3 linked regions of the Coturnix japonica genome follow. The protein of the gene in region 2 interacts with the protein of the main gene of each other region in a pairwise test. Links are inferred from orthologs where the notes say so. Each region holds a gene or a part of one and is shown on either strand. Other genes may lie near its edges.

The links.
Region 1: the proteins of TOP3B (region 2) and MID2 interact in binary tests that used the Homo sapiens proteins (3 or more experiments, as listed by UniProt). The two-hybrid records come from large-scale screens. The link is inferred for Coturnix japonica from reciprocal best matches to the Homo sapiens genes TOP3B and MID2.
Region 3: the proteins of TOP3B (region 2) and SPRED2 interact in binary tests that used the Homo sapiens proteins (3 or more experiments, as listed by UniProt). The link is inferred for Coturnix japonica from reciprocal best matches to the Homo sapiens genes TOP3B and SPRED2.

What each region holds. Positions count from the first base shown.
Region 1 is NC_029519.1:1,721,686-1,728,900, reverse strand, and holds the start of MID2 (probable E3 ubiquitin-protein ligase MID2), read left to right. Parts: upstream 1-3,493; 5' UTR 3,494-3,707; intron 3,708-3,873; exon of another isoform or gene 3,874-3,978; intron 3,979-4,581; exon of another isoform or gene 4,582-4,877; intron 4,878-7,215. UniProt on the Homo sapiens protein: E3 ubiquitin ligase that plays a role in microtubule stabilization. Mediates the 'Lys-48'-linked polyubiquitination of LRRK2 to drive its localization to microtubules and its proteasomal degradation in neurons.
Region 2 is NC_029530.1:347,184-353,662, reverse strand, and holds part of TOP3B (DNA topoisomerase 3-beta-1), read right to left. Parts: intron 5,808-6,479; coding exon 5,733-5,807; intron 5,447-5,732; coding exon 5,250-5,446; intron 4,985-5,249; coding exon 4,828-4,984; intron 3,725-4,827; coding exon 3,611-3,724; intron 2,699-3,610; coding exon 2,608-2,698; intron 2,304-2,607; coding exon 2,149-2,303; intron 1,913-2,148; coding exon 1,807-1,912; intron 1,288-1,806; coding exon 1,141-1,287; intron 398-1,140; coding exon 224-397; intron 1-223. UniProt on the Homo sapiens protein: Releases the supercoiling and torsional tension of DNA introduced during the DNA replication and transcription by transiently cleaving and rejoining one strand of the DNA duplex.
Region 3 is NC_029518.1:1,452,539-1,459,017, reverse strand, and holds part of SPRED2 (sprouty-related, EVH1 domain-containing protein 2), read right to left. Parts: intron 6,399-6,479; coding exon 6,221-6,398; intron 4,986-6,220; coding exon 4,817-4,985; intron 2,574-4,816; coding exon 2,509-2,573; intron 1-2,508. UniProt on the Homo sapiens protein: Negatively regulates Ras signaling pathways and downstream activation of MAP kinases. Recruits and translocates NF1 to the cell membrane, thereby enabling NF1-dependent hydrolysis of active GTP-bound Ras to inactive GDP-bound Ras.

The sequences.
Region 1 (7,215 bases), on a different chromosome or scaffold from region 2:
TTTGCCAGGTGAATCAATTAGCACTCACAGGCAGTCACTAATAACCAGCACACACGTTGCCCTCTGGCTGACCAGCTTGAGGTTGATGCTGGGCACTGGGCAGAATGTTTGAGAGCTGCAAGTATGAAGCACAACCATGTGGTTGCTAACTGGGGGCAGTGCCAAGCAGGTGCTGGCAGCTGCAGGCACACAGTGTGCACAGCCATGGTGCACATCCATGGTGCACAGGGGTGAGATGCGTTTGAATGAAGCCTAAAGCAGAAAGCAAGATGCTCCAGCACTGCAAAACGTGAGTAGAAGAGCACTTCCCTGCTCCAACATGGCACCCATTGGAAACGGAGTTTGCAGGGAGTGCTCCAGCAGGCGTCTGTGTGCCGGGTGCCAGCCCTGCCGCAGCACCCACAGGCTGCACTAATTGGCATGGAAAGTGCTGCTGATTGCTAATGGCTCCAGCTCAGATTTCACCCTGGAGGAGCCCAAAGACTTTTCTGGGTGGGGTGTTGGAGTGCTGTTGGTGTTGGCCTCGTTTGGCTCTCTTTTAGGTTGGGAATGAAGTTCCCACAGACAGCAATGGGATGGAGCTGGACGGCTGAGCTGCTCTGGGTGCATGGAGGTGTTTGGGACTCGGGTTCCTTTTGGGATGCAGGAGGAGCTGGCCGTGCTGCCAGCATCCTTCTGTCTCCCAGCAGCATACAGCCAGAAGCAGCACTGTAGGGAAAGACGCCCCAACTCCAGATATTGCTATGCAAAGGGAATTACAACGAGCTCCTAGCATCGCTTCTTCCTCATTGTGTTTCCCATAAAGGGAGGATCCTTCCTCTTGCAGCAGTGATCCGTCTTCCTGCAGGCATTGGGCTCCTCAGGGCACTCTGGGATGCTGAGGATTTTGGTGCCTCAGGATGTTAAAGCTCCTTGTTGGGCACTGATGGGAGCCAGAAGAAGCAGACTGATGTGGTCCCACAGACAGTTTCCAGGCAGTGAAACTCCCGTGGGCTATGGGGTGAGGTCGGTTTCTGGGCTTGGGAATGGGTTGGAGCAGCACAAAGCTCACCCCAGACCATACTGTCCAGCCCCATTGCAGTTCCCCCAAAGCACTTTGGTTGGGGTTCATGGGATGCCTGCCTCGCCCACGGGGTGCAGGGAAAGAAGATAAGGCTTCAAACCAGCTTTGATGCTGCAGATTGAGGGTGTGAGAAAGTCCTGCAAGCACACTACCATGCTGATGGGCAGCCATGGAGACAGCATTGCCCACCCCAACATGAGGGGGGACCCAAAATACCCCTGTATGCATCATCTCATGCGGGCTGAGCTCTGTCTCCACCAGTGCCAGCAGCAATGCCACCAGCGGGTGGCTGTATGGGGACACAAATGCCACCAGACTCCTGGGTAGGGAGTGGGGAGCACTTTGGCACCCCATCAGGACTCAGTTTCCCCATGTTTGCTGGAGAACTGCAGCTCTGCTATGCGGTCGGTGGCACTTGGGCATCCCGGGGTCACAGTGGAGCTGCAGAGAGGGCTGTTCCTTTTGCCATCAGCATCCCTGCACTGCACTGTGCTCTTGCAGAACATGGAGCAAACCCTTGTGTTGAGTTCAGGGCAGCCCTGGAAAACATGCTTTAAAATCCTAATTGTGATCTCGGTATCCCTGTGCTCCTCTGACCCACTCAGCACCACATGATCCATGCTGCAAATCACCTGCATCACAGATAATTACAGCCCGGCTCCAATAAGTGAGCAAGAAGCCCGTAATTATCCACAGAAGTTATTTGACAATTATTATTTTATTTTAATTAAGAAAAAAGGAAGAAAGAAAGAAAGAGACACCCCAAACCCACAGGAACTCCATGGGTCTCATCGCTGTGACTCAGGAGGAGCGATGGGGCCAGACCCCAGCAGTGGGGCAGGGCTGCAGTGGGGCAGGGCTGCAGCACAGCCTGTAGTGTGGGGAATGTGGGGCGGTTTCTTCCCAGCAGCTCAGAGCAACTCAGATGCCCACTGCAGCCCTTCCACTGCCCTCTGCCCAGTGCTGGGATGCTGAAGGATGGTGGTGTGGAGACCCACAGCATCCCTTGGATGGAAGAGTTAATTGCTCTTGTAATGAGCAGCACGTGCTCTGTGTTAGGGAGAGATGAAAGAAGGAAGGAAGAGAGGAGGGCAGGGAAGGAAAGAAGGGTTTAAGTATTTTGAGGTCTGTAGGTGATGGGAGAAAAGTGCAGGTCTTCAGCACTCTGGGAGCAATGTTACTGATTTCATTCTAAGTCAGACTCAGGTCTTACTGAATACATGTGTGATTTGTTCCATTATTAACAGCTGGGTGTGCTTTACCTGCTGGTACCTGAGGTTGAAACCAGTGGGAGATGTGAGTAAATGCAAAAGGGCTGTTCTGAGTGAGCTGGGAAGGGTGGGAATGTTTCTGTAAGGTCAGGGTAGGTCTCGTGGGGCTGTTGTGGCTGCTGCAAGCCAGTTTCTCTTTGGCAAGGCACAGAGATTGCCCTGCAGCATCCTGCAGGAGCGCAGGGCTGGGGAGTGTGGGTACGCTGGGAGGGGTCTTGAGGGCATTACAGCCCTCCATCAGACATAGCACTGCATGCTGCTCCCTCAGGGGGCTGCAGGCTCTCTGAAAGCCACATCCCATGCCAGCTCCCAGCAGAGGCGAGCATTTCCCTCCTGTGGAAGACAGCAGGATGGGGTTACACACAGGCACAGTGCTGCCAACGCAGCCCATTGCCACTCCTGCAAGAGCTGTGCACAGGGATGTACACCTGCTTCAGATGCTGATGGTGAAATGGAAGCGCATGGCTAAACCACCGATCCCCAGAGAGGTGTTGGGCAATGGGTGCTGAGCCAGCACAGCCTGTTCCGGCTGTTCCACGGTTTGCTCAGCATAGGAAATTGGGAGCGGGCTGTGAAATTCCAGAGCTCAACATGAGGTGGTGCAAAGCATCCACTGCCCGTCCCCGAGCAGCGGCAAAGGAGGAGAGAGCGACAGGCAGCAGGTGAGGGAGGTGCTGGGGAGACGTGGAAAGCACGAAGCCACCGAAACACAAGAAGAAAAGGTGATGATATCAGGGGAATTCATCTGGCCCTGCTCATCACTAGAGCTGCTCTGGAAGAGGGATTCAGATGTTAAAAGGATTTTATATGTATATATATTTTTTCCACCATAAGAATAGATGTCAGAGGGCGAGTCGTGCTTTAGAGCTGTTAGTTACTCACAGAGCTCCCCAGGCCCGCGGTGTGACTGAAGCACCTTCATTTCCCATTGGTGGGATGTGGATGTTAACGCACACCGGGACCCCCCCGCTCCCAGCAACACGCTGGGTGTGAAAAGCAAGGAACCTCCTGACCCAAATGCACCGACATGGGAAGGGTGACTCCAAAACATCCAGACGTGGGGCAGCCGGGGGTGATCTCCTCATCCCTACGGAATGTGACTCACCCCGCAGCGGTCGCTGTGTTGACACGGAGCTGCCCTGCCGGCTCCACGCAGCGCCACTCGGTGCCTGCTGGCCCAGGGTCACCTCTGCCACCGGCAGCTCAGCGCGGGGCCCAGGCAGCACTCCCATAGGGAAATGGTCTGGGGGGCGAGCGGAGGGCTGCGACGGGGCCACTTGTTTTCTGCATGGATATATGCAATAAGGGCTGATGTGGCTCGGCTGCAATCAGGAAAACCGTCCTCGCTGAGCGGTGCTGGAGAGGGATTTAAGGTGAGGATGGGGCGCGCGGTGGCTCCGCTGCTGCGATCTCCCCTTCGTTTCCCAGCCCTACGGGGGCGGTCGGGCCCGGCCCGGCTCGGCCTCACCTGGAGCGGGCGGGGCGGTGGGGGGCGGCGGGGCGGGCAGCAGTTCGGTCCCGCCTCTCCCTCCCCCCCCGCCCCGCAGCTCCGCCGCCGCCCGCCCGCGCCGCCGCCGTCTCCCCCGCACCGCCGCCGCCTCCAAGATGCCCGGGCAGCGGCGGGGAGGCTGCCGCAGCCCGCTGGTAAGGGGAAGGGGGGCACCGAGATCGCGTGGGGGCACCGCAGGGAAATAAAGAGGAGGTTAGGGGGGGCTGCAGCCCCGCCCTGGGCTTTTTTTAGGGGTTCCTGTAGGATTTATGGGGCTCCGCCATCCGGTTATAGGGCGGGCGGCTCCGTGCTTCCGTGCCGGCCCTTTTCCCCCGGAACCGTCCCGCTGCCTTTTTAATGTAATGTAATGTTTTGGGGTGGGGGGGTGCCGGTTTTTGCCGCAGCCGGTCGGCGGGGTTCGGCCGTGAGATCCGCTGCCCCCCAACCCGCTGAAGTTGAAATGGAAGCGGACGGTGAAAGGAGCTCTTCTCCCGGCTCCCAAAAACGCGGCGGAGCGCGGAGAAATGCGCACCGGGCATCGCGGGCGCTGCGCTGAGCTCCGTGCGGTGCTGCCGGTCCCGAAGGGCAGCGCCGAGTTCTATAAGACGCTCCCCAACACCGTACGGTGCCCGAACCCGCTGCCCTCTTCCCTCTCCCAACCCCCCGTCCCGGAGGGTCCCGCAGCGCTGCGGGGTTTGTGCGGGGCGTGAGATGCGGGAGGCGCTGCCGGGCGGCTGCAGGTGCTCCTTGCTGCGTTCCGGGTTCGGGTTTTCCCCCCTCCGTTCTAAAGAGCGCTCCTCGCTCGGCCGCAGAACGCTCGGGGTGGGGGAGGTTCGGCCGACACGAAGGGATTTGGGCTCCTCGAGGCCGCCCATGGGAAGTACGCAGCGATGAGGAGGAAGGCTGAAGGAAGCTGCCTTGGCTTGGGCAGGTGCTGGTGTGGTTCCGGAGCTCCGAGCGTACGGCTCCGGATCCGTGTGCTGCTGTCCGTGTGCCGGCAGGCGGCATGGGATCGGCCCCGGAGCGCGTGAGATGGGTCGGTGACTTTGCGTTGGTTTGTATCGGGGTCATCTCTCCTTTTGGTGGTGGGGGGCGGCGGGGGGCGCGTTCTCCAGCACGCTGTGGGTTTCTGCACGGCAGAGGGTGGTTGGAATGTGGGGTTTTAGGGGTTGGGGGTTTCTCTTTTTGAGCCTCTCGGGTCAGCTCCTGACCCCGGAGCCGTGTCACACCTCAGGGTGACAGCTGTGCCGCCTCACCGGAGATGCCACAACCCCCAAACCAACGCTGTGCTGCACTCCGTGCCCAGCTCTTGCCAAATTTCTCCTCCCTCCAAATAATGCAGGCTACGGCCTGCCCCCAGCTTGCCTTTTCCCAAGTAGAGGGCACTGCATGGAGGCCAGCGAGAGCCTCCCTTGGCTGTCACCTCCAGCAATGTGATGGCTTTGTGCCCCGGAGGGGGGGCCCTCCATCCCCCCCACTCACAGTCCTCGTGGCAACTCTGGGATGTGCTGGGACAGGGCTGCAGTGTGGGGTGGTGGGGTTTGGGGCTTAAGAGGGGTTTCTGGTGGCCCCAATGGGCTGTGACAGCTCTCCTCCCACACTGCTGGCTGGCAGAATAAGTGCCCTTTGTGCCGCTGGACACGCTGCCCTTTCTTAGGAAATGGCCCATTGTGCAGCCTGGAGGCTCCGTCCATCCATCTGTGGGTTCCTCCCCAATCAGGCAAACCCAGCATCTGGGATGCCCCATTCCTGCCCCCTCCTTGTGCCCACATCCCTTTCCCTGCGATGCTCGTGTACGTTCAGAGCTCTTGTCCCCAGCCATGCCCCAGCATCACTGCATCGCCCGGTGCACAGCTGGGGCTGCACCAAATGGGGCTGAGCCTGGTGCATTACAGCAGTGCAGGAGATGCTTCCTGCAGGCCCCACGGCGCAGCACATCGTGGGGTGTCTGCCAGGAGCAGCCCGACTCGCCGGCTTCCCATGACGTGGCTCAGGGTTGGGAAATGAAAGGGGCTCTGTGCCTCTGCGGAATACCATTACCATTATTTATTGCTGGAATTTCTGTCTCACAGGGGAATTAATTGCTGGCTCTGGTCGTTTGGGTCTTGTTTCGCCAGCCACGCGCTGGGGGGAACGGCCTAGAAATTAAATGGCGTTTGAATATACAAACTCAGTTCTGAGTTTGGTTGACCAAAGTGGGGGGAAAAAATGAACTTCAGGCTGAGCTCTTCCTGGAGCTGAGCTGGAACGTCACAAGCATCAGCTGGCCCAGGGTCTGCGTGGGAGCAGAGGGAACATGCACATGTACATCTGTGTGTGCACGGCAGGAGCTCAGCATCCCACGGTGCAGAGAGCTTGGAGGTGGGTCAGGCACTGCTGTGGGTTACCCTGGGTGGGGACCCATTGGAGCTGATGCCTGGGTGCTGCCATCTGATGGAGTTTAGGGGTGGGAGAGCTCGTGGTGATGGTGTCCCTCCTCAGGGAAATACCCAGACTCCTGAAATCACAGAGCTATGGCAAAGCAAGCAATGGGTGCTGTGTGTTTTTAGGGTGGATGCACAGACCCAGGCCTTTACCTCTGCTCAGTACATTCCCCTGATGGCTCCCAGCTGCGCGTTGCATCACAGTACAGCTGAGGCATGCTGGGACCTGGCCATGGCTCTGGGTGCCTGCTTGCCTGGTTTGCATTCCCCCTCCCAGGAACCCGCTCTGTTTTGTGCTTGGAGCTTTTCCCTGGCTGCAGGGAAGGGATGGGGGGGAGCAAGGAAAGGTCTGTATGCCAAGCAGCCCTGGCGGCTGCCATCCTCTTTTCCTCCGTGCTGATGCCCCTGGGGTCACTAATAGCCCTGGAGCCTCTGGGAAATTTGTTTCCTTGATAAGGAAGGGCTTGTTTGTGCTCTTGTTCCATCCTTCCTCATTTCTCCTGGAGAAAACCTCCCTGAGAGGCTGCATGGAGGCAGCGAGTCCCTGAGTGTTCTCACGGGGGGTACCAGATGTAGAGGATGCTGCGGCCCCTGGCAGCCCAGGGATGAGCGGGTGGGATTACTGCTTGCCAGATGCAATGAGGGTAAGAGCTGTCCTGCTCTGTGACTTGTTTGCCCTTTTGTCCTGGATATACCACCAAGCCCCCAAAGGATGGGCAGTGGCTGAGTAATGTCCTCCTCATGGCAGCCCCTGAACCCACAGTGGGGCTGCCCCCATATGGGGCTGTGAGCTGAGCCCTGCTCTGTTCCACCGGCCCTGGGTGCCTCTTCCTGAGCTGAGACCAAAATATCTCCTACCTGCATTGTTCTCCTGTGGGGGATTACTGCTGATTGCTCCCCATTGTCCTCAGTTCCTGCAGGAAGCCCTGTTTATCTTACCCGCCTGGCCAGGAATGCAGCCCCACGCAG
Region 2 (6,479 bases):
GATTTTGCTTTGGTCAGAAACTGGGCGTAAGGATAGGATGAATGGAAAACAGGGAAAGCAGAATCTGCCATCCAGGTTTGACAGGAAAGAGATCATGACTGGAGTTATTGAAATGAATACTGAAAGGTCATTGCCAACAGAGCAAGTTCAGAGGAGTGATTCAGACCCCTTTGCCCTCATAGTACATATATTACAGGATAATGTATGTCAAACAAGTACCTACCAATGCCATGCTTTTCCATCAGTGTGATGAGTTCTGCTTCCGTCAGGTAGTCAGGAGGACTGGTTTGCATTTCCAACAATTTTATTTCCCCAACTGGAAAGAGATCTCCTTTCTCACAGCAGGGAAGGCTCTCTTCTAATGGGATGCTCTGCCAAGGCATAATTTCTGTGAAGCCTGGAGGTAAACAAAATAATGAGAGCTTATCTTCACAGCTTTCAAAGGGCCAAGACACACACTTCTAATTTTAACACGGGCTACACGATGCACATCAAAGTTGAGAGGCTGTTTGCCATTCCCTGCAGACAATATTTGAAATACTGTATCAAGAGATGGGATCTCCAACGGCATAAAAACTTCTGTGGATAAATCGAGTCCTGCTGATATATGGAGAAAAAAACAAAACAAAACTGAAAAAACAACCGAACAGGGCTTTCCTCAAACAAAAGCACAGTGCCAGAAGTCTTACCAAGTGGATGGGAAGAGTCTCTTAAAAAGAAAGTGCAAATACTAAGTTGTATTAATGTAGCAGATGACTGGGACAGCCCGCTGTGAACATTTCACTGAGGGTACTATAGTCCTTTTCCTGAGGCTCAAGGGAAAAATATAAGAAAAAACCATCAGCCTTTGTGCAACATAAACCACAACAGGATCTGCAGTCTGAAAAAAGACTGGTCTTTCCACCGGTCAGTGTGGCATTAAAGCTTTGAGACCACTACATGGGAAGTACATCCTTTTCCAGCATAACGTAAATAAGGAAGCGAAGACCAAGATTCAGTCCTTGTCATCTTAATAAGCTCCAGGAAAAAAGAAGTCTTAAATTCTACTTGCCTCCAAAACTTCACTTTTATATCTATTTAATGCATGAGTGGGTAAAATAATAAACGGTGCCTAACTACTTACTCCCTGGTTAGTTTTACCTGGTGAAGTTACCACTTTCCCAACGCAGTTAAAACGTTCAGGGCCAATGCTGACAGAAATGTTGGTTTGTAGGTACTTGCAATCAGCGCTCACAGTGGCAATGAAATGCCTAGTGATGTACTCATACAGCCGCCATCCATCTCCACCTGAGGATAAACAATATCTTACTCCCACAAATCAAGTCCTGCAGCACTACATAAAATTTGCGCTAAAAGATATCAGATTTCCACAGAAACCACAGGGAAAACTGGTACCTAAGAGAAAATAGGATTGAAAAGTCCATCCAGCTTCCCCTTCAAAATTTCCTACCCATAAAATCATACTTGTTAGAATCCTGTGCTACATTAACTTCAACTTTTTCTTTTTAAATATGCTATCAATCGGGCTGCCTGACAAACTAGCACAGAACAGACAAGAGCTACACACAGTTTCCTTAATCACAACATATAGCTAGGAAATCAAATAGCAGAGAGGTTATAATACTATAAACAGAAACTTAGCTCCTAAGTATCAGTCTTGTGCTTTGCATATTTCATCCTATTGTGTACAAAGAAGTTTTACATAGCCATTCAGTAAGCTGTATGGCTACTCAAAGTCTTAACATGCTTCTTTATCAGAGAACCAATTTCCTCACAGTGTTCTAACACTATTCAGTTTGTCTGTACCTAATTCTGCTTCTGTTGCAGCTTTCATTGGAGTGATGGGTGGATGGTCACCTGCATCGTGGCCTTTCCTTGGACGATTGATGCCTTCTGATAGCAATGCTTTTACCTGGGTCAAGGAAAAGAGAGAAAACGGGTTGAAGTGGATAGCAGGTCTCTACTATCAGGTTAGAAGTTGTTTTTTTTTTTAAGATCAAATCCATAACTACAATATCTGTAAGTAAAAGCAATTACAGATACTTGTTGTTTGCAGAGACCTACAGATCAAGACATACCAGGTAAGATGTTCTAAAAACACAGACTAGAGAACCACCTGTAGAACAGTACAGGTTTTGATTTACTCACCGTTTCTGCCCAGTAAGGATTATTAGCTTGTTGTCTCAAGCATCCTTTCAAGTCAAAGTTTTCTGGATAATGGGTAGTTTCTGTTCGAGGGTAGCTAATATAACCCTGTGTATAAAGACGCTCTGCTATTTGCATGGCGTGTTGCGGACCCATTCCTGGGATGGCACAGGAGAGAACAAAATCATACAGCAATCTGTAGATGCCTTTGGTTGCTGAGTCTTAAAGCACACCTTGTCAAAACATTTAAGCTAATTACAAATTACAACTTGTCCTTTCTATAAGACTTTTGCCACCTTGATCTGACCCAGTACTTTTGACATGCTTTCTAAACTTGCTTCCCAAAAGTGATACACTGTAGGGAGACTTATTAAAATATTACATATGGGCTTGATTATTTCAGCTGAGAATCCAAAGTATTTTGCTCTAAATCAGTGTGAAAATCTAAACTTTTACACGTACCTAAAGCAGCACTGGCCACTCGTAGCATTTCTACCGTGTTCAGAGCCAGTGGTCTCTGCTTCACCTTCTCTTTTTTACTCACAGATTCTACCTAGAAAATAGCATTTTTCCAGTAAAAGTTTTGAAGTTTGGTAACTGATAAATGTAAAATGTCTATTATGACTAAAACCATGTGGTATTCCTACCAGGACCTGCTTTCGTCACATCTGTGTTTTGATATTTTTCCGTAGAAAAGTAACCGTCAGATCTGGTGGAAATCTGATGGGAAACAGCTTTACCAAATGCTGAAGGAATAGCCCCAGGGTCCCTTCACATTATGGACTAGATCAGACCTACCACTGGACATGAAGGGATGTAGCTTACTGCTACCTTCACTTCCCATTTAGCTCTGCAGCACATACATCAGTGCTACAAGGGAGTAGTGCTCAACCCAAGTAACGGTCCTAGATATAAGGATCTCAACTTTTTAAAACACCGTGTAGCCTCTGAACGTTGGTAGCTGTAAACACTTAAATCCCAACACAGTGTCAGACAAGCATTGAACAGAACAGCAGGTTAGTTGGCTATAAGGACTGTACCGTACAAAGTTAAAAACTTAACTGCAGGAATGTTGTTCTATAAGTAAATAGATTTCGATCTATGCAGTGTCCTGTGGGAAACAAGAGGTCTGCTTGGGGAGTTCTGAACTGTGCTTCTCAGCAAGTTCAGCAATGAAGACTGTTAATTCCTATCGTGAATGATGACCATTTCCAAAGTCAATATTAAGAATGGGCTTCTGTTGAGATGACCATACTAATGTAACACAAACTACAAGCAAGAATCTTTTGCCTTTTACTTATCATTTACACAAAGTTGAATGAAATAAAAAAAGATAAGGATTATATTTCTTAACCTTCTTCGCCAAAAGAAGGCTCAAAAAAACCAATATACAGTAGATGAACTATTGAGTAGTATTTCCTTTATGTGAAATAAGCTCTACCAACACCTAAGTAAATAGTTCTACCTTTGCTTCTTTTGCAGCCTTTGTTATATTTAGGAACATCTGAGCGATCTCACGATCAAATACCCGCACTCTGTCCCAACTCAAAGTGAGAGAACTTTCCTTTTCAGGGTTCACCTGATGGATCAAAAACAAACAACAACAAATTAATTCCCACCAGCACTATTACTAAAAGTGCAGAATGCACTTCAGCAATAATCCAGCAAGTAAACCTTAGTAGTAGTTGTTTTACAAGTGCTCCAAGCATGCAGCTGTACTCATTTTCCAGTGGCTTCTGAGAAAGAGTAATTTGAGTTCTGGGGCAAGGAGAATGACTGAAATTATTCTTGCAGTTAACTGAAATACTGTGCTTATTTTAAATACTTGGAATAACAAAGGCAAAATGGGCCGAAATTCAAAGTTTAACATTTTCACTTAGCAAAATTCATTAATTCTTTGCATTAAAAATAAAATGTACGTGGGCCACAATCCAAGTCCCTCCTACAAAAGTAAATATGAACTAATCAATGTGTGTGCATGAAACACCCTGAAAACAGGAACCAAATGCTTCCTAGCATGACACATATAAAGGAGATATAGCAGAAAACAGATAAGAGTAGACACTGGATTTCAACTTTTTTTTCTTTTTAAATTTTAAAATCTAAAAATAGCAACTTTTTACCATCTATCTCCTATTTATTTACACAATCCTTGTCATCACAAACAGTAAAACCATGTTGGTTAGCGCTCCAAGTTGGAACAGCAGCAAGGCTATAAAACTGCCATAAACTGCCAAAGCATTCAGAAGACTCAGTGCCAACACAGTGAACATTTTATTTGCTTCAGAATTCCAATACTCAGCAATGCCAATGCTCACTGGCAGACAAATTAATTCTTGGATTCAAATTAACACCACAGTTGGTCCAAGGACCCCAGGGAACAATAACAGGCCATTTTAAGTAGTCTTTCTGGCTCAGTCTAAGCTTAGATGGTTACCACTAAAGAATTTTTACAAGCAGCACACAATAACCGCTTGAACACAGAACCGACATCCTCAAATCTATTAAGAGAGTGGTGACACACATGTGAACTGAATGAAAATAGACGAGTAAACTGTAGGCACTGTGAATTCTTGTCAGCAGCTACAAATTCATGAATGGACAAAATGAAAGTGTTAAGTCCGTTTCTTACTATATAAGAAGGAAAACATGTTTTAATCAAACAAATAACACATAACTTACTTTAGCCTGCAGCACCCAGTAAGTCTCAGGCTTGAATGACTGGATTTTGTCGTGCCTTTCAACACAGAAACCAAGTGTTGGTGTTTGACATGGCCCAAAGGAGATGAGGGAGCTGTCTAAGTTTCCGTATTTCCCCTGAAAATACTTAGTCTGAAACCTTAAGGAAAAGATCAAATAAAGCATCAAGTAGATGAATATCCTCATTCCCATGCAAAGCAGCAACTTTCAGGAACTTTCCCAGATACGTATGAATAATCTGCCAAGTCACTCATGTATATTTAAAAAAACCAAAAACTTCACAGTATAAAATTGTTTGCTTTGGTAACTCAGTAGAATTAACCACTGCAGCTCTAAGGCACATTCTATGGACAGGGCAGTATTCCTGAACCTTTCATAAAACCATCTGCAATCTGTGCTGTTACCTTGTAAACGCGCAGCCAATTCTGAGATCCAGCTCCTGGCGGGCATCCACTGAAAGGGCTTCATTGCGATTGGGTTCTCCCAAATGATTCATGGCATTGCAGATGTCTGTGTCAGTAATAGAACTGAATTTAGCTCTATAAATCGTCCTTTCGGTGCTAGGAAGTTTGTTCATAACAGGAAGAACAGCATCAAGAACCTAAGGAGGATCAGAAGAGGATTTTGTAAGTAACTGAAAGCTGAGGGCTTAAGTCAGTTCTTTCCTCTGGAGGGAAAAAAAACAAACCAAACCCTCCCCACAAAACATCTGCTGATGTGTAACACTGCTACACAGTAACACTGTGAATATCTGATGAATATGTATCAGTTTCTACCTAGGTTGCCAGGGCACAGTTATGAAGTGGTGGTATTTAAAGAACTTAAACACTTGCTAAAATGTGCTTCTTTAAACAAGAGAGAATGAAATATGGTATTAGAAATCTTACTTCAAAACAGATGTTTTCTCCCTCCTTATCACAATCCAACCACAAGACAATGCAATCGCAGCCTCTTCCCTCCACCTGTAGGAGAAATTAGCAGAGTCATCAGCTACTCAAAAAAGAATCTCTTCAATAACTGTATAGTTTTTGTTTCTGTTTTAAAGCTCTAAAGACTGACACAATTTATTTGGTGCAAAAAGAGTTGGAATAAGAAAGCAAAAGTAAAAAGGAAACAGCATGTAATCATAGAATGGCTTATGGGAGAAGAAGGCTGTGCTTCACAGAACTGAAGGTTTGCCTACATCCTTTCTGCAGGATCTCAAAAAAATACATATATCAGCACGGATGGCTCTACAGCAGAGGAAGGCTCCTGAAGTTCTGTATGCTGTAAGCACACTGTATGCATCACCTTGGGCCCAGTCCCTTCCCCTTCCTCTGTCTTAATTCTTACATCATTAAATCAAACAAGCAAGAATAAAAAAAACAAACAAACCACAATCAAGAACCACTTTCTAGCGCATAAAGCTGCCAGGAAGTCTGAAGTTATCCACCAGAAATCAGTCTTACACCAAACACCTTCTTTCAAGAAAGCGCATCATTTTGAAAAAGGATCCAGATCTTTGCTTTCATCCCAGAGAGCTGCACGTGAGAAAAGACTGACAGAGACACCCTGAAGGAGCCATTTACAGGCCAGACCTTCCATGCGCTGTTAGAAGCCAAACACGAATCCAATACACGTACAGATTGTCTTTT
Region 3 (6,479 bases), on a different chromosome or scaffold from region 2:
TAATTAAAGAAGTCTGAAGATGCAAGCTGGATGGATGAAGACAAACAGAACAATCTCAGCCTGCTGCAAAGACAATGCTTCCCCCAGCAGGGACGGAGCGGATGGCTAGTCTTACTCAGATTGCATCTCTTGAGAGGACGATTTATAATGTACAAGACAGGCGAAATTTATTTGCTAACATATGGAAAACATTTATGCGCTCTACTGAGGATCTGGAATTAAAGAAACACAACTATGTACTGTTAAACTTCTAAATGGAGATTTCAGTTCAGAAATTAGTGTTTTTCCCCCCCAAAGTCAGTGACATTTACTTCCATATACCTCAGCTTTCTGCTCCCTTAGGTAGGGCTCTAAGAACAGAGGGCTGTACTGATTTCTTTCATCACTACGGATCTAAAGCACAGCGGAGTTATCGAATGGCAGAGCCCTGTTTTTAAAGATGCAATCCACGCTTCAGAACGATGGCCAGGGAGCGTGCACTATAAAGAAGGGGCATAAGGGTACCGCTGCCCGAGCTGCAGCACTGATCTGCAAAGCCACTTCCAATTTTGGACCGCAGCTGTTGAACAGATTGCAACATCTTCTTCAAGGAGAGGCAGGACCTTGCAGCAAGGACTGGAGGCAGCGGCTGGGATTTTCAGAGATGCGTAAATGACTGCTTAAATGACTCAATCATGCAGATGCTTCTGAAAATTCTGCCGCACGCAGTCAAGTTTATTCATCCATGTGTGGGAGAGGGGGAGGACTGCAAGGATTTTAATAACTACCTTAGGAAATAAAAAGAGCAAATGTGCTTTCTCTTTAAAACAGAGTGAAAACCCAAACCCTAAAAGATCTATTGCTGTGGCGTTTACAAGAGAGCTGCAATAAACATTTTCTGGGCAAGGAGGACCAACTGGACTATCATATATATGTTTAAAAGGAGTGTAAAGAAAGAATGAAACAGAAGGGTAAAAATAATAAAACACAAACCAACCCCCAAAAAACACTACACATTAATTTCTTCCAGTCTAAAAGCCCTACGCGCTTGGGTGTGTTATTTCTGGCTTATGCAGATCTCAGGCTCCACCATCATCTACCAGGATTCCCAGATAAACGGCAAGCCAAGAACTTCAAAGAACTTTACTACAGTGAAAGGAGAGATTCAGCCCAACAAAGCCAAAAAAAAAAAAAAAGATCTCCTTTGCTCTTTCTGCAGGCTGCTTTTCACTGCATTTCTGTGCCTCACCCAGTGAGAGCTGGCATGTGGATGCCCATGCAAGGTGTGTTTCAGGGAGCATCCTCACCCTGACAAGTACAGTAGTGCCCCGCTTTGGGGACGAAACAGCACAAACTGGTAAACTGGCCTGGCTCCAGCGGGGCCTCCCCCAGCTCTGTGCCTATAAATCACCCCTGGCAGGTAGCTGGGAAGCAGCTGCTAATGATGGGTTTGCTGCCGAGCACAGGAAGTCACCTTTTAACCCTGACTGCTGTTTGCCTCTGGAGCCATGACAAAAGGACTGGCCAGATGACGTGCCAGCAGCTGGGTTGGAGCACTGCACAAAGCCCTGTCCAGCGCCAGCCCACTTGGGCCTCAAAGACACCTTTTGGCTGGCTGGATGGTACTTCTCCCCACCCTCGGCCCTGCCCTGCTCCCCCCGTAGGTGCAGAGGGGTGTCCTAGAGGAAAGAAAAGGACCTGAATGAGGACGTCCCACCTGGCAGCCCACCCCCACCTGCACCACACAACGAGCGCATTTATCGTGTAAGGAAGGGGGGTTGTGAGTAGAGCCAGGTAAATAAGCGTAATAAAACAAAGTATTCATTGTGAGCGTTGTTTTTTCAGTACACAGAATATCCGCGATCAGATTACAATTTCATCTGACATGGTCACTGTTTCGGTTGTGTTTTTTTTTTTTCTTCCCTCCTCCTTTTCAAAGCATTTGAGTGCAGCAGGGACAGTAGGTGCTCCTGTTTCAAAAAAGCTCCAAAACACATTTTGGACATCACCATAAATTCAATATGAGGAACTCACTCCTCCTTCAGCCACCGCTGGCTGGGTAGCTCATGTGTCAATGAACTTTCTACCTTCACATACACACAGGACGCCTTCAAGGTTGACTTTTGTTCCCCATAATAAAGGTAATATTTCAGAACTTCATTTCCTTGACTGCACACCTAAGACGCAGCTACCTACTTTATTTTTGTATGGAGAAGAACCACTCAGACCATGGCGTGTTAAACTGGAGGGACATTATTTGCTCACTTCCAGCCCTGACAACATCTGCTCTGCTCTGTCGTGCTTCTCACATGGCGATGGGAGACCAAGAGAAACCCAAGTTTACCTTCTGCAGGGTTTATGCTTCCATCAAATAAAACACACCCACTGAACAAATGCAATTAAAGCCGGAAGCCAAACCCAGGTAATAAAACAACAACAAAAAAAAACCAACGAACCCTTAAACCTTTCAAACCTGACCATGTAAAACAAGATCATAAAGGAGAACGGCCAGAAGGGAGATGCACTTACTGTGAAGACATCATCGTCACCGACCTCAGCCTCGTTGTGAAGCGTTGAAGAGGAAGTAGTAGACCCTAGAAACAAGCAGGCTTTTAAAAATATGACACTCCCATGCAACTTTTCCAATTGTTATTATTACCAGGCTGGTGAATGCTTGGAGGCTAACAGCTTTATTTGCTGGATAGATGTGAAAAGCTCTTTTTTAGGAAGAAGAACCACCTGCTGTTTGCTGGGTTGGAAAGGTAAAATCTGAAAGTGTTTCTTGACATGTAACTACACGGCTGCCAATGCTAATTAACTCTGCTAAAAATAGCAGTCAGCATTTCCAGTTGCAGAAGGCTTTCATTTCTGAAGAACGGTAAAGCTACGCACTGATCGGTGCTTAGGTCCAGACCCTCAGCTGTCAAGAAACCACTCATGAGTTATTCCTCAAGAAAACCCTAAAATTGGGTCAAAAAATCACTTTCTATTGAAAAACAAACTTTTACTTTGAAAAGGAAGCTTTTGATTTTTTTTTTTCTTGTAAGTTGTTAAATACAGTAAACATCCCTGCTATCAGCAATTCATCAATAGAATCGTCTTTCCCCACATAAGCAATGTATCTGAAAGGAACTGAAATTCATACTGCCATAAAAAAAGACTGAAAAAGTGGGATATTGTATCCTACATCTCTGGCCCCTGATAACTCCTCTCACCTCATGGGTGCCACCTCATTGAGATGCTTTATCCCACTAGGTTGCAGCCACACCCCATCCTTAAACTAGAATATTTAAATGCTTTGTAGCGTCTTCATTCTGGAAATTTATCCTAAATAGCGTACTTTATATAATGCTAAACTGTACCAGCCTTGGCTGCATTCAGTTGCGTAACCGCAAAGATGTGCAGAGCCAAGTGTGAAAGCCCACTTAAAACACTATGTAACGTGAAAACATTCAGGCAGTTTGCTACATTAGTTTTAAAAAAAAATAATTAAAACATCTAGATTTTCCCTACAAGGCTGCCCAGGACTCCTGCACAAAACAGACTTTCAAAGCAACACGAAATAACCTGCTGGATAGAGCAGTGATTTCATGAAGCGAAGCTTCAGACGCGGTTTGCCCTGCTTTAAATTACCTGCTGAATTTGATGAAGCAAACAAAAAACAAGCAGCAAATGAAAGCCAAGGTCTGACACTGTGCGTGCACGTGCCAGTGATTGTTTTTCATTCAGAAAGCCTTATTTGGAAGTTAAGTAGGAGCACATTCATGAGGATCAGCCTGTGCTGTTAATGTGATAAATATAGAGCTGCTGATTTTGAAGTATCTGAGATGCAGAGGAACTTGGTTTTAAATACTTCCACTGTAAAATGGATCAAAAAGAACTGGAGTTGCCATGCACCGGGTGCATCTCCAAAATACCACTCAATACAACTGAGCTAAAATCTTTGAACGCTGCTTGGCCGTGTGTCATTTCTATAAAATGTCACTTCTGTGAATCAAAATGCTTCCCGGTTTTAGCAAGCAGGAAGAAAGCAGAGGGTCAGCCATGATTTGTTCAGGTCAACAAATAAACAGGAAAAAGCGAACAACCGGTAGTTGAGAAGATCCTTCCTCAAAGCAGGAAAGAGCCATGGGGGATTAATTCCCACTCTGTAGCTACCACTTACATGGTAAAGCAAGGACAGGGCACTGCAAGAAAAGCAGGATGGCTCAAAAATCAGAGAATTGATTTTCATGTAAATAAAATCAAGTAGTATTGGGTTATAGCTGTATTATGACTGATTGCAGCGAGATGTGAAGAGGAAGAATTTATGACCTCTTCAAAGCATGGGCAATTCAAATGCATTTTTAAAGGATGAAAAAAATAAAACACCAAACACAACAAAGTCTTCAAGTACAGCCATTCAGCCAAGCGGACACAGACAAAAGTAATTACTGCAAAAACAAAACAAAGTTTTAATTCAGCTTCGTGCAGGAATTCATCCTCTGCTGATTTAACAAAGACTCAGTGTAAGTGGATTCGGCTACACATAAAGGCAAGCCTGGGCTGTTGTTGTTGTCCCTAACACGAAAGCACAGCCTATCAAAAAATCAGTCATAACCACACAACAACTAATGGGTGAGATCCTGGCAGACCAGGCCAGACAGGATGAAAAAATATTTGGGCTTAAATCCCTTCTCTCCTTAAGGGATGAAGAGACACGGCTCTCTGAACTGAGCTAGCCTGGCACACTTGGAAGCGCCAGATTGACTTCCAAGTCCAAGGACTGGTATTTAACTCCCACATCTTCCCATCTCCTTGCTTTGAAGACACTTCAAGTTTACACACGCCCTGGTACCTTCAATGAGGTCCTCAATGGCTTTCCTCACGCCTCTGTCAAAGGCTCGAGCGTCAGCAGGGCTCTGAAAAGTGAGCCCAAACTTCCTGTTGTCCACTTTCCAGTGGTGGAAGGTCGGGTTCGCCTTGGTGTACACCAGGTCCTTCTTCACGAAGCACTCTAGCACCACCTGAGAGAAGGAGAGGAGCAAAGTCACTTTTCCCATACCGAGGACACAGATGTCACCACTTCAGCCTCAACTAGCGCCTTCCTCTACCCAAAAGCAAGCCAAGTCATGATTCGCGCTATGCTGGTAGAGAGCACATCCTTCCCTACTAAATTATGACTAATAAACACCAGATCCTTTGATTGTTCTCATAAGCATCACACATTCATCTTTTTATTAGGCTCTGAGTAGGTACTTTTCGCTGGGGCAGATTTAGGAGGTGCTATTACACTCCCCCACTTCTCTTTCCTCCCTCATGCCCAGCTAGGATTCTGTGCCAGAAATCATTTCTAGGGTGATGCTCAGAGAGAACAGAAACAGCATTTAAGTCTTACCCCGTTTCCCCCCCAAACTGTAAGCATTGATTGAAAATAACGTGGGGGAAAAAAAAAAAAGGCATCCTAAGCAGAACAGTAACACAAAAGATGAGCTGCACTTTAAACAGCTTTAAAACACCAGAACTTTTGAAAGCAAGGCCATTTCCAACTAAAGTGATATATATACACTTTTTTCCCAAGCACTCAGCTTCCTGAGCCTGTGCGGGGAGCCTATTTTTAAGCCAGCCCATCTCTTCATAAGAGTGAATTTCAGAAGAATTGAATATATAAAAATGCGGTAACAAAATACAACAGCTAAACCAGACTCTGCAAATAAGGAAGAGGCTTTATTAATTTGCTTTGTATGGGAAAGAAAAGTGTCTTTTTTTTCCCCCCTCAGATAAACAGCTACCAGAAGAAACCGAGTGCGTCAATTCATAAGAGACAACTTGTCTTCATATTCTCACCCTGCTTGTTCAAACCTTGAGCAGCACGCAGCATAAATAATTCATTGCCATTTTTAAAGTCTTGCGCTGCATTACCCAGTGCAATGTGACTGGCTTCATGGATTCTTTACACTTCAATTCACTTCTCACACAGCCCTGCTAGATGTGAGAAAAACGCAGGCCCTTTCTCAAGGAATCAGAGGGGGGTTCTTTGCACACCTTTTACCTGCTCGTGGCAGCATGATGGCCAGACAGTGAGAGATGGCAACTCAACTGCTTTCTTGATGAGGACAGGATTGCTTCGTACAATCTGGCTCTAGCTGTACATGCCTTTTTTGTTTTTATTTTTTAAATCTTGCACAAGAACACAATAGCATCAGATACGGGATAATTCTCATTATAAGAACAGACAAAAAGTTGAATTAGGTTCTATTACCAGTTTGTCTTTCTGCCTTTCACCATGGATTAGAAATCCACTTCTTCCATTGCCCTCTGGGTACGTGACCTTGCAGACGCCAACTCTACTGAGGCCGCCTCCTTCTTGCGGCAGCCATCCCCCACTGGAGTCATCTCGGGTCATAACCACAGCTTTGACTCGCACAATATAGCTGTCACTGCAATGGCAACAAAACAAAACAGAACCTTTTGTGAGCATCACACATTCTCATCAGGGTGTTTTTCTTGAGGGCGGTATT